Linked DNA regions of Mus musculus: all the other regions are reported to be linked to region 3. Evidence: microRNA targets listed by miRTarBase, many of them from high-throughput screens and not tested one by one. Region 3 holds a microRNA gene; each other region holds the end of a gene's coding sequence.
What was found. Region 3 holds the annotated microRNA mmu-miR-339-5p (UCCCUGUCCUCCAGGAGCUCACG, at 1,308-1,330, opposite strand). A microRNA usually pairs through its seed, bases 2 to 8, with sites in the 3' UTR of a target mRNA and lowers its output. Matches are read on the target gene's strand: a 7mer-m8 pairs with bases 2 to 8, a 7mer-A1 pairs with bases 2 to 7 and ends in A, and an 8mer does both.

Region 1: the mRNA of Dhrs7b is a reported target of mmu-miR-339-5p. Seed matches in the 3' UTR shown: 7mer-m8 at 1,061-1,067.
Region 2: the mRNA of Rbm11 is a reported target of mmu-miR-339-5p. Seed matches in the 3' UTR shown: 7mer-m8 at 1,301-1,307.

The regions. Positions count from the first base shown.
Region 1 is chr11:60,857,209-60,861,274 of GRCm38, forward strand. It overlaps Dhrs7b (dehydrogenase/reductase (SDR family) member 7B), which reads left to right. Exons shown (of 7, transcript NM_145428.2): 7 at 510-1,215. The coding sequence ends at 715. Among named protein-coding and RNA genes, the nearest start is that of Tmem11, 20 kb to the right of the region's middle.
Region 2 is chr16:75,600,490-75,604,555 of GRCm38, forward strand. It overlaps Rbm11 (RNA binding motif protein 11), which reads left to right. Exons shown (of 5, transcript NM_198302.2): 5 at 124-2,336. The coding sequence ends at 411. Among named protein-coding and RNA genes, the nearest start is that of Rbm11, 9.6 kb to the left of the region's middle.
Region 3 is chr5:139,368,401-139,372,466 of GRCm38, forward strand. Mir339 (microRNA 339) reads right to left here and starts at 1,345; the gene lies at 1,250-1,345. The region is part of intron 2 of 3110082I17Rik (RIKEN cDNA 3110082I17 gene); the gene reads right to left.

The sequences.
Region 1 (4,066 bases), not on the chromosome of region 3:
CAGGACCTCCGAGTTCTCCACTGCACCTAACTGTTGTCATCTCTCCAGCCCGCAATCTTCTTTACATGGGCCTGGAGCCCACTTTGAGGCCTCCCTGTGCTGGGTTTCGGCATCTGCCACAGAGCACCAAACAGACACATTCCCTTTGGTTCCACACACTAACTGGTATACCCAGTCTATTATCTTGTCTGTATCTCTTTTGTCCCCATTTCCCTGCTCTGAACCATAAACGTTTCTCACTTTCTCAGTGTAATATCCTCCCTGTCCGGAGGAGCTCTAAGAGCTGGTTGGCCTCATGCCTCCTTGTTTATCCTTTTTTTTTTTTTTTTTTTTTTTGGTTTTTCGAGACAGGGTTTCTCTGTATAGCCCTGGCTGTACTGGAACTCACTCTGTAGTCCAGGCTGGCGCCTCGAACTCAGAAACCCACCTGCCTCTTCTTCCCAAGTGCTGGGATTAAAGGCGTGCGCCACCACACCCGGTTTAGGTTCCTTTTCTTTTGTTTACTGTAGCTCTAGACAAGAACACAGCCCAGGGCCGAAGCGCTGCAGAGGTGGCCCAGGATGTCTTTGATGCTGTGGGGAAGAAGAAAAAAGATGTTCTCCTGACAGACTTTGTGCCATCCATGGCTGTCTACATCAGAACTCTGGCTCCCGGGCTCTTCTTCAGAATCATGGCCTCTCGGGCCAGAAAAGAGCGGAAATCCAAGAGCTCCTGATGCTGGTAGGGCTGCTGGCTTGGGCAGCCTGATCAGACCGACTACCACACCTTCCTGGGTGGGGATTGCAGTGCACGGGATCCGCCGCTAAGACCTGGTGGAGGGCTACCTTGTATTTGTTTCCCAGGGAGTGATTAGCTCTTAAGGAGTGAAATATGGAGTTGTACAGGAACACTAAACGATGTAAAATAAATGACTGAAGAGTGGGTCAGAGTTCACAGTAGAAGAACCATGTACAGGTCTTCTGAGTCTCGGACGTCCCTGGTTTCGGAAGTGGTTCTGGAGGTTTGGGGACCAGGCATAATAGCACCAGCCCCAAATCTGGCTTTTTCTTTTGTTTTTCAAGACAGGGTTTCTCTGTGTTGCCCCAGCTATACTGGAACTCACTCTGTAGACCAAGCTGGCCTTAAACTCAAGAATCCACTTGCCTCTGTCCCCCAACTCCCAGGGCTGGGATTAAAGTTGTGTACCACCCCCATCCCTATTCATCCTACCTTCTCAAATCTGCTCTTAGTTTGGCTTATTGGAGGCCACTGGCCCAATTCTTATGGAAGAGGCCTGAGGGAGAAGGCTGGTAGTCTTAAGATGGTCCCAGGTCCTGCTCTTACTGTAGAAAGTGGGTGAGTGTGGAAGGATGTTTGGTGTATCCTATGTAGTGCCAACTTTAGCAATCAGGAAGAATTCCCCCGAGTCCTCTCCCCTGGTCCTGTTACTTTTCCAGTAGCCTCACCGGGTACCATTCCAAGCTGAGGTGAGCCTGTTGGAGAGCAGCCAACAAGGAGAGTTGCTGCTTGGCTCTGGTGTGGCATGGGAAGAAGGCACTCAGACTGCAGATGTCGGCTGGGGTTGCACTGCTCAGGCGGTGCCCCAATTCCAGGAAGAGCTAGGAAGAGACCTTGTGCTTACCTTTGACTTTTGGTTTCTCTGTGTAGCCCTGGCTGTCCTGGAGCTCCCTCTGTAGACCAGCCTGGCCTCAAACTCAAGAGATCTGCCTGCCTCTGCCTCCAGAGTGTGGGGGATTAAAGGCGTGCGCCACCACCATCAAGCCACCACTATCGCACCACCACCACCGTCTGGCCACCTCTGACTTATGAAAAAGGCATGAGGTGCAGGTCAACTTCATTTTCCAAGTTTAGAAGGAAATTTTTTCTGTTATAGAAACTAAAAGCTGAAACCATAGGAGGTGCACTGGAGATCTCCCCAGATATGAGTAAAACTCCCTTATAAAGCTGTCACGTTCACTTAGCTCTGGGCCTGATGAATTGCCTTTAAAATGAACAGATAAACATTGTGCGTTGAGCATTACCTCCTCCTCCCTGTCTGCCCTTTCTCTCTCCCATCTTAATCTCCTTCCATCCCCATCACTTCTATTTTATTGTCTATGTACCTCATTTTATGTGACTATATGAAACTTAGGAGCCAAAAATGAGAAAAACATGAGACACTTGCCTTCTGAGATTCGCTTAATTTAAGGTATTATCTCCAGTTGCACTTGTTTTTTCACAAATGTACAAAACTTTGTTAATTTTAATAACTGAAGAAAGTCAAAGCTGGGTAGTGGTGGCACACGCCTTTAATCCCAGCACTTGGGAGGCAGAGGCAGGCAGATTTCTGAGTTCGAGGCCAGCCTGGTCTACAGAGTGAGTTCCAGGACAGCCAGGGCTACCCAGAGAAACCCTGTCTCAAAAAACCAAAAAAAGGGAAGGAAGGAAGGGAGGAAGGAAGGAAGGAAGGAAGGAAGGCAGAGAGAGAGAGAGAGAGAGAGAGAGAGAGAGAGAGAGAGAAGAGGAAAGGGAAAGGGAAAGGAGTCAGTCCAGTGAGTGTGCTGTTTTGTTATCCCTATCTCTATTTCCTGTCTGGTGTTGGACACCTAGGCTGGTTGCATAGCTTAGCTATTGTGATTATTGCTGCAGCGCTCACGGATGAGCAGGTGTCTCAGATGGTCTGACTCGCACCCCTGGGTAGCACAGGTACACAGCAGGTCTCTTTCTATGAGAAACTTCCATACTGATTTCTGTACAAGTCACACTAGTTTAGATTCTTACACACAGCAGTGTGTAAGAGTTCCCTTTGCCCACATCCAGGCCAGCGTTTGCTGTTTTCTTAATGACTGACTTTGTAACTGAAGTGAGATGTCTGACCTGCATTGCTCTGATGCATAATGAGATGAACAGTTTTCATGTTTTGTAGCCATTTGTATTTATTTCATCTGTTATGGCTCACTTTTTAAAAGTTCGTTGTGTATTCTAGATATTAACCCTCTCAGCTCTGACAGTTTCTTTAATCCTGTTGGCTCTCTCCACCCAAGTCACGCTCCCTTTGCTGTACAGAGGCCTTTTAGCTTCATGAGGTCTGATTTATCCCTTGCTGGCCTTGTCACCTGAGCTGCAGGGGTCCTGTTCACAAAGTGCCTATTTCTGGAAATATTTTCCCTACTTTTCCGTAACAGGTTTGAGTTTCACATGAAGGTCTATTTGGAACTGATATATTTGTGTGCAGGGCAAGATAAAGATCTAGTTTCGTTCTTGACTAGGTGGGTGGCCAGGCTTCGCAGCTCCATTTGTGCATTTCTGGCATCTTTGTAGCTCCAGTGATACGAGGTCCTAGCTCAGTCTTTTATTTTGCCCCATTAGTCTACATCTGCTTAATGCTAATACTGAGCTGACTGCTATGACGACCATGACAAACTTCACGCTCTGTAAGGTGCTGACCTCCCACGTTTATTCCTTTTGTTCAAGATTACTTTGGCTGTCAAGGATCTTTTGCACTTCTGAAATTTGTTTTTCTAGTTTTGATTGATTGATTGTTTTTTTTTTTTCCAGACAGGGTTTCTCTCTGTAGCCCTGGCTGTCCTGGAACTCACTCTGTAGACCAGGCTGGCCTCGAACTCAGAAATTTATGTTATTTCTAAGAATGGTTTTTGAATTTTGATGCAATTACATTGAATCTGGTTATATCTGATATATATGGTTCTTCCCTCCCTCCCAGACTGTATCTCAGTCTGGCCTCAAAGTCACTCAGTAGTCAAGGATGGCCTCCCAAGTCCTAATCCTCCTGCCCCAGCCTCTCATAAAATGTTGGGGCTATGCATGTGCACCATGCGAGTTTATAGAGTGGTAAACAGACCTAGGGCCTCAGGAATATTAGGCAGTCCCAAACTGGGTTACCCATCCCAAGATTGCTATTTTCACAATATTAATTCTTCCAGCCCCTAAGAATGGAGGTCTTCCCATCTTCGAGTGTCTTTGGTGTCTTTCTTGAATGTTCTAAAGTTTTCTTTGTCAAGGTCTTTATCCCGTCCCCTTGCTGAGAATGTCAAGTTTTATTTTTCTGGTGAAGTCTAGTCATGTA
Region 2 (4,066 bases), not on the chromosome of region 3:
CCCTAACCCTGTACAGCCCACTCGCTGTGTTACACCCAGACCAGCTAGGCACGTCTGCCTGAAAGCACATGTGAGGTGCCTCAGCATGGTGAGTGTGTGTTCACAAGTGTCTTCTCTTCACAGCCATGGTACGCACACAGTCCAGTGCTGCAACCGCCTTTCTGTGAGATGCCAGCCCCACTTCCCAACAGTGTGCCTGGGTCTTGCGCCTTAAATCACTCTCCAGGCCCAGAGGCTGGACCCAGCTCCTATGAGTGGACTCACCAGCCACCAAGCGACCCTGACCTGTATCCTAGGAATAAACGGAAGAGGCAAAGGCCAGACAGCGACAGCGACAGTAGCTCAGAAGACAAGAGAGGAAACGAAGGAAGCCAAAAGTGCCGCAAGTGTAAAAAGAAGAAAAGATACTAGCGAACTGTATCTGCACTGCTCTCAAACCTCTCTAGAAAAAAAAAAATCTGTTGCACCAAATGATCCATTTCTTGTCCAGCTTGTCGTTTTTGAAAACGTATGGAAATATGACTCTGTGATTTGCTATTCAGTTTACTATTCATGCTTATGAATGACAAAAGCCTTGAAACAGTAATATATTGTTGTGCGTTTGCATTTGCAAGATTGCCTTGGGACCATTGTCTCACAGAAAGCTTTCTACCAGCGCAGGTGGGCTGGCCTCAGAGGGGTTGCGGGCAGAACTAATGGGAATAATTAAAAACAGTGTGCTTTAGTAACTATGTAGCAAGGATGCTAATTAAAAACAGTGTGCTTTAGTAACTATGTAGCAAGGATGCTTGAGTTCCTGTTCTAGCTGACACTCTTCCTTTTTATGTCTAAATATGGTACCTCTGAGCATCCCTATCACACAGTGTTGCCTTTAAGCATCGGACACTCAGGCTATGACGGGAAAGATAGTTGCCATATGCTCCGTGTCCTATGCTTAAAGGCAACACTGTGTGATTATTCATGTTTTCTATCATTTTTATTTGATATAATTATCTGTATACATCACACTTCTTGTTTGTAAGGGCACTCAGTTGATGGTATCAGTATCTACTGTCTAATTCTCCCAGCAAGGGTGGGAAGGACATAGTGGCTGTGTGAATTGCTGCGATGACCAAGTGTACAGAATGATGCCGCATATACTTAATGCCTATTGTCCAAGTCAGTACATTTATTTCACTTATTTTAGAAGATAAATGTAAACATTTCAAATGAATGGGGTATGTCAGCACTTTTGTTAACTTGACGGCTTACCATAACCTAATGATGAAGATATTTTATATATATATATTTGGTTTTTCAAGACAGGGTTTCTCTGTGTAGCTCTGGCTGCCCTGGAACTCACTTTGTAGACCAGGCTGGCCTCGAACTCAGAAATCTGCCTGCCTCTGCCTCCCAAGTGCTGGGACTAAAGGCGTGTGCCACCACGCCTGGTGAAGATCATATATCTATTAAAGCTAATTGAAAGGATAATGCAAACCCATTATGAATTATCTACCCAGTTCAGGAGAGAATAAGGCACACGTGGGTGTGACCTTTGCATGTTGCCCACTCGTTCATACATATTATTTAATGAATAAAAGTATCTTTAACCAACAGAATAACTGAGTTTTACTCTTGGATAATGAGGATATAAGTGGCGATTATGACAAATACAAGCTTATCTTATATAAAGACCTAAATTACGCTGCATGGAACTTTAACTGGGCTTTTAACATTCTTAAATATTAAAATATGAAAATGTTGGTTTTTTTTCTTTTAAATCCATATTTTAGCAATTTGGAATCATGGCCAAGATAAAATTCATTCTTTCGTAATTATATAGCAGCACCTTTAAACATATTACCATCATCTTCTATGTTCCTCCAGTTATGAAATTTACCACAGACATAAATTAGGCCATGTGGTTAGCAGAGCTGGGTATAAGAATGCATCTTAGCAACTGAGATTAATGTGTGTAAGAAAATTAGGTTGAAGTAGGACATGCTCTAAATGTCACAACTGGGAAATGTTCTTGTAACTCTCCCACCAGAGAAAGAAAACTAACTCAGTATCTGCTCTTAACTAGTCAGCCATTCAGCTAAGCAGACTGCTAAGAGAGTCGATTTTACTGTGGTGTCTTTTGTTAAAGACCAGGAAACTTCCTGTAAGATGCTAAGATTTGCCCCAACCCCAAAATTTTAAGTTGTCTATTTTCCAAGTGCTATAGACTTGGATGAAGGATTATTAAAATTCTTTGCCTCACATGGTTTTCTTCTCCAATTTTAATCCACCAGTCTCAGAATTGACTTCAAATTGTAAATGAAGTTAATAATCTAAAAATAAAACTAAACCCTTTCTGTGTTCTCATCTTCAATTTATTTAATTAACTTTTAATATACCACTCAGTGTCATAACAAGGAAAAATGCCACAAAAAGTTAGTGTCAAGCTAACCTTCAAATTTGCAGAGAGGAGACACACACCTTGCTGTGGCTTAGATAAGAGATGCCTATGAAATTTCAGCATTAAATGCTATTTATATGCAATATTTTTATAAAATTATTTTAAAATGCTGTTGCAATTGATTTTTGTTATTGTCTATCGCCTAAAAAATACTGAAAATTGTTACACATAGTTCATCACTTTTCGGGTTAAAAATATACTCAAATAGAGCCTCAATTTCTTTACTATATGGCTAAAGATTTCTCTCTTGACAATATTTCCAATATTGTACTTAGATTTTTCCCCGTATTTATTAAACATATTCACTGGAGTGTCTCACTAGCAACACAAACCTTATACTTTCCTTTCTAGCCAAATTCTCCCCTACTATTTCTTCTTTGATCAGTTGCTGACACAAAAGGATAATGCTGACCTGTGAGCTTGCTGAGTGCCCTGACAATGGTAACAGGAAAGATGTATTGGGTGTATGTTCTTGACCCACCTTTGCTTGCCTATGTCCCAGATTAGACAACCTTGGCTGCCTTGCTTCAAGCTTCTACATCTTGTGGGACAGAGAACATAGAGACTGTGGAAACTGACTTAGAAAAATTGATCAAAAGGAGAGGAGTTATAATGACTGTTCTCTTTCCTTTAATGTGACCAGTTATTTTGACTCAATCATGGTGTGGCCTAGAAATAAATCCAATATTGGAGATTCCAATTATGAAGAGAGCTAATAATCTTTATTCGCCAGCTTACCCAGTTCTTACCAATATTACCTGAGAAGTCACAGTTTTTTTTTTTTTCCTGTTCATTCTCAAAGACACCTCCCCCACAGTGGGAGGCCAGACCTTGGATCTGATTGTTGCTAATTTGCATACCTGGGACATCCCCACAGTCAACCTTAATCCTGTGGCTTTTAACTTTTGACTTTGTATTTCAAGCAGATAGGTTACCTACATACAGGCTCACCTTCAGCAAAGACCAGTCATGGCAGTTATTTATGAAGAGATGCATTGAGTGCATATTGTGGCTTTGGTCTGAATGGGGAAAAAAAGGCGTGCTATGAGGGCCGGCAGCCATAAGACAGGCCACTGATGATGCTATGACTCCTATCAAGCTAAGACAGAGGCATGTGCCCAGCAGCCATATTTTTTCATGATAAACACTAAAAGGCCATGTTTGTGCAAATAAACACAAACAAGCTGCATCTGGCCTCCAGGACGGGAAAGAGAGAGTATAATAGAGTCAGTCCTAAGCAAGGCACGGCCACCAGCCACCATAATTCCCAGGCAGGACCATGAAACATAAGTAAATCTAATGCCGCAGTCCAGCTAAATCTTAATAAATAAAAAGGGAGGAACTGTGCCCTTCCCCCCAACCTTGAGTGGGCTGATTCAGACCTTGTTTTTGCCACAGCCTAGCGCACCTAAGGTGGCGTCTTTCAAACTAGGTAAAGTCTATTGTCTGCTACCTATGCAGCTTTCTGCAAGAAGCCACTACCTGCTGAGCAGCCTGCACTTGTTGTCCTGATGAGAACCTGACAAAGCTACAAGATCCTGACAAAGCAATGAGATCCTGGCCTAATGGGGAATGGGTCCCCCCCTTTTTAAGTTCAGACTCAAAAGTAAATATTGAGCCTTGATC
Region 3 (4,066 bases):
CCTGTGCTGGGGCAGTATGACTGGGGATATTCTCTTAATAGGGATTTGTGCTGTCCTGGGGAGGCAGTCAATGCCCAGCGTTTTTGAGCATCCACTGGGCTCAAAAACATCTTGTTCAAACGTTCTTGGAATTGTGGAGGAGGTTGGTGAATATGTCCTGAGGATTGAAAGTCCAAGGCTAGCTTGAGCTTAGCAAGTCTGTCTCAAACATAAACAAAAACCCCTCAAAGGTTAGTTGTAGACCTTGGCAGTAGAGGCCCTGGTAGCCAGTGCCAGACACACAGCTCTGTAGGACCTTCTTTCTTGGAATGACTGAGTCAGGTGTAAGGATGAACACAGGTGAGGGTAGAAGGACCCTCTGTTGTCCCCACCCCATCATGTGACCAGAGCAGCTGTACTGGGGGCGCAGCTGAGTGGCAGGGAATCCAGTCATTTGACCCGCTTCACACAGGACAGAGTCCCAAGGGCACAGCAGATGGTCGATGGAGCCCAGCACCTGGCCTGTCTATCACATACCCAGGTGGTGCCTCCAAGGCTGGGGCATGGTCTCTGGTCCCTACCACCCCTATACCTGTTCCCCAGACATTGGGAATGGCCTACAAGTGACAGCGATGTTTGTGGGGGGAGACCACGAAGCCTGCTGAGGCTGACGAGCTGGGTGCCAAGGCCAGTGGACTCTGTTCTCATTCCCCAGCCCAGAATCAGCCCTCCTCCATTCAGTTGGAGCCAGCCCGAGTCCAGGGTCCCACAGAGGTGTTCGACCTTGAGAGCCCATTCCGGTTCACAGACCTCAGCAGACTGCTGCCCGGCTATGCACTCACTCGGTAGCAAGATTTCCAGAAGACAAAGCAAAAGCACAACAACATAATGAAGAGAGGGGAGAGAGTTTGTTTTAAAGGAAGCTTTTTATTTGGAGGTAATTACTGAAACACAGTGGATGTAGAAGTGACCCAGGGACACCAACTGCCAGGACATAGGTCACACGCAGTAGAATCAACTGGTGCTACAGAGGACACACACAGAGGGAGAGACCTGGAAGGCTCCCTCCTGGCTCCTCTCCCCTCCCCCTCAGTGTCTGCGTAGGTTAAGATGATTAGGACCCCAGAGGGGTCAGTGCCTTGCGTCACCGCACAGAGAAACCAGAGTCCCCTCCATCCACGGAACAACCTGCAGATCTGCACAATCGAGTTCAAGAAGGTACAGCATGAACAGCCAGCGACTGAGCACCCTGGTCTGCAGGCAAGGGTCTGTGGACAGTGCAGGGGTGGACACCGGCTCTGTCGCCGAGGCGCTCACAGGCAGGCATACGTGAGCTCCTGGAGGACAGGGATAGTGGCCACCCCGTCCAGCTCTGCACAGCTGTGCTCTCACCACCTTGGTGCCAAGGCAAGGGTCACACCCACCTAGGGATCCCCTTCTAGATATGACTTTTCAAATGCACAAAATGTCACTTAAGCCCCATGCTTGAAAAAGACAAAGATGACAGATGCGGCACCCTGCCTCCTCAGTGACCTGAATGGCGGAAGTGAGCAGCAGATCTGATGTATCCCTGAGAAACAGGAGACTGGGCCATCACCAGCTGCCACAGGACACACGAATCCCCAGAGGTGATGTTGTCACCGCCACCAAGCCCAGGCTCTGTCCAGGCCACAGGTCCTTCTGCAGTCACGGCAGAAACACCCTGTGTCACTTACTTGGGGGTTAAACACAGGCTAAAGCCTAAGTCTTGACCTCAGGCTGCCCAGAGAATTAACTTTCTCACAGACTCCAGCACAGACCACAAGGCCTCTAGGCTGTGAGTCCCCGACTATACATCGGTTTTCTTGGCTCTCTGGCCTCAGCTCACCTGACTCAGGCTGACTGGCCCCACCAACAAGGTTATGAAGGTCCCATGGGTTTTCTAGGTCTAACCTCTCCCACTGCTATCTCACATGTCCCCAGTTCCAACACAGGAGCAGACAGACCCCAGGAGCTTGAACAGGGTGCAGATTTCCTTGACTAGGCTGAGGGGCTGGCTCCAGAAGATAAAACTTCCGTCCCTTTGCCTGCAGATCACAGGAACTGGTCCCAGCAGCTCTGGCACAAGTTTAAGTGGGAAGCCCAACTCGGCCATCAGTGAAGCTCCTGGTCCAAGAGCAAGGACAGAGTCAGCCCCTGCCACCTGAATCACGGGCGTGAGGGCGACACACACAACAAGCTCCCACCTAGGTCTACTCAGAAATGGCAGAAAGCAGCCAACAGGCAGGGAAGAGGGCCCTGCAGCGGGGGAGATGGGGAGGTCTCTAATCAGACCCCTGCAGTAGGAGACCCTGAAGTGAAGGAGAGGGAGGGGCTTGCATCTATAACTGAGCATTCCCAGGCCAGGAAAAGCCTGCTGACACAAGAACCTGTGTACTGTGCAGAGCCTGCGCTGCGTCCCTGAGCCGAGCGAGACTCAGTCTCATTTCAGCTGCAGTCTGCCTCCTTCGCCCTAGCTGGAGGCCTTCTTTCTAGCCAGGGCCAGGTACCCACATCCCCTTCTCTAGAGCTTCCCGGCATGCCCACCACCCAGGGATGCTTGTTCTAGCCTGGTTTCCACGTGCCCCACTCCCAATTCTATTTGAGTGTGCCGGTAATCAAAATGCTTTTGATTTTGGCTTCCTCTGGTAGAGCAGCTGTGTTCACACATCCCAAACTGCCTAGTGGACCCCCAAGTGACATTAAGGTCATGGAAGCTTTCTTGCTGTGGCCAAGGAAAGGCCATTTCTCCTGCTACAACGGGCCCAGCAACCACCCTGCAAGCAAGGTCAGATGTCTCTGCTCACCTGGGTAAGTGACTCCCTAGCAATCCAAAACTCCCCACCCCCCTTTTTTTAAAACAGCAGAAATGTGAAGACAGCTCTGAGCCAACGAGGGCAGAGATGACCAGAACAAACACTGGGGCACAAACAACACTCGCAGGATCCTCTATAGTTCCTACTTTTTGTGCTGATCTTGCTATTATAATGCAGAGCGGATTTCTAAAGCTTGAAAAGCCCACTAAGCAAAGTGTGGGAGTCATCCAAGGTGCGGGTGCAAGCAGCTACAACTGGGCAGAAAATGGGGTCTCCCAGGGAAAAAAAAAAAACCAAACAAACAATTATGTACTGTCAAAGACTATCAGCCACCAGGCTTCCACATTAGCTGAGCAGCCTGCGATCCTATTTCTCCTGCGAGTGTCAGCCTGTGAGCACAGCCTGCCAAGTTCTCACCTCCAGACCCTAACTATACCACCTTCCCCACAGACTTTAAGGAGTTCCTGCAGGAAGGCTGACCTGGGAGCAATTGAGAAGGCCTGCAACAAAGTCTGCCTCTTGGGAGGTGGAAAAAAACAAAACAAAACACAAAAACCCAGGCTAGTGGAGCAGGCAAGAATGAAATCAACATTACACAGGGACTTCATTAAGTGCCATAAAGTTTGTTGTTATGCCCCTCCCACTGTTCACAAGCAGTTTTTTGGGTCAGGGCTCTGCACACACCGCGGACACCCAGGAGGGTCCTCCTGGGTGTCCATGTTAACCTGGCAAGTTAACCTGGCATGTTAACCTGGCAAGCGGTCTCAAAGCCTAAGACTCAAAGTCTAATAAGACTATGAGCGGGGCCCAGGCTATGGGCTCAGGGGTGGGAAGGCAGGCAGCGGTGCGAAGGGACACCTGGACGACCTCGCGTGGCTACAGAGCGAGGCCACCACCGATGCCTCGGGGTCACCTGGCGCCGCCCGCGCCTGGCCACGCACTGACCTCGCTCGTAGGCAGCGGGGAGTTGTTGGCGCGAACTGCCGAGACCCAGGACGCTTCACAGCAGCGAGTCGGGACTGGGGCGGAACCAGATCTAGCCGGCTGGACAGTGACGCAGGCGCGCCTGCGCCCTCGGCGTGTGGGCGTGGCCTCTGCCGGGACACGTGCCTGAACCAAGGGGGATTATTGTATGTAGGGGGCGTGGTTGGCCGCATCCTTGTTTAACCTAGGCTGTGGCTGGGGTGTGTGCTCTTGCCAAGCCACCCTCCAGCTTGCCGCGGACTTGTATTCCATAGATCCGGACACGGAAT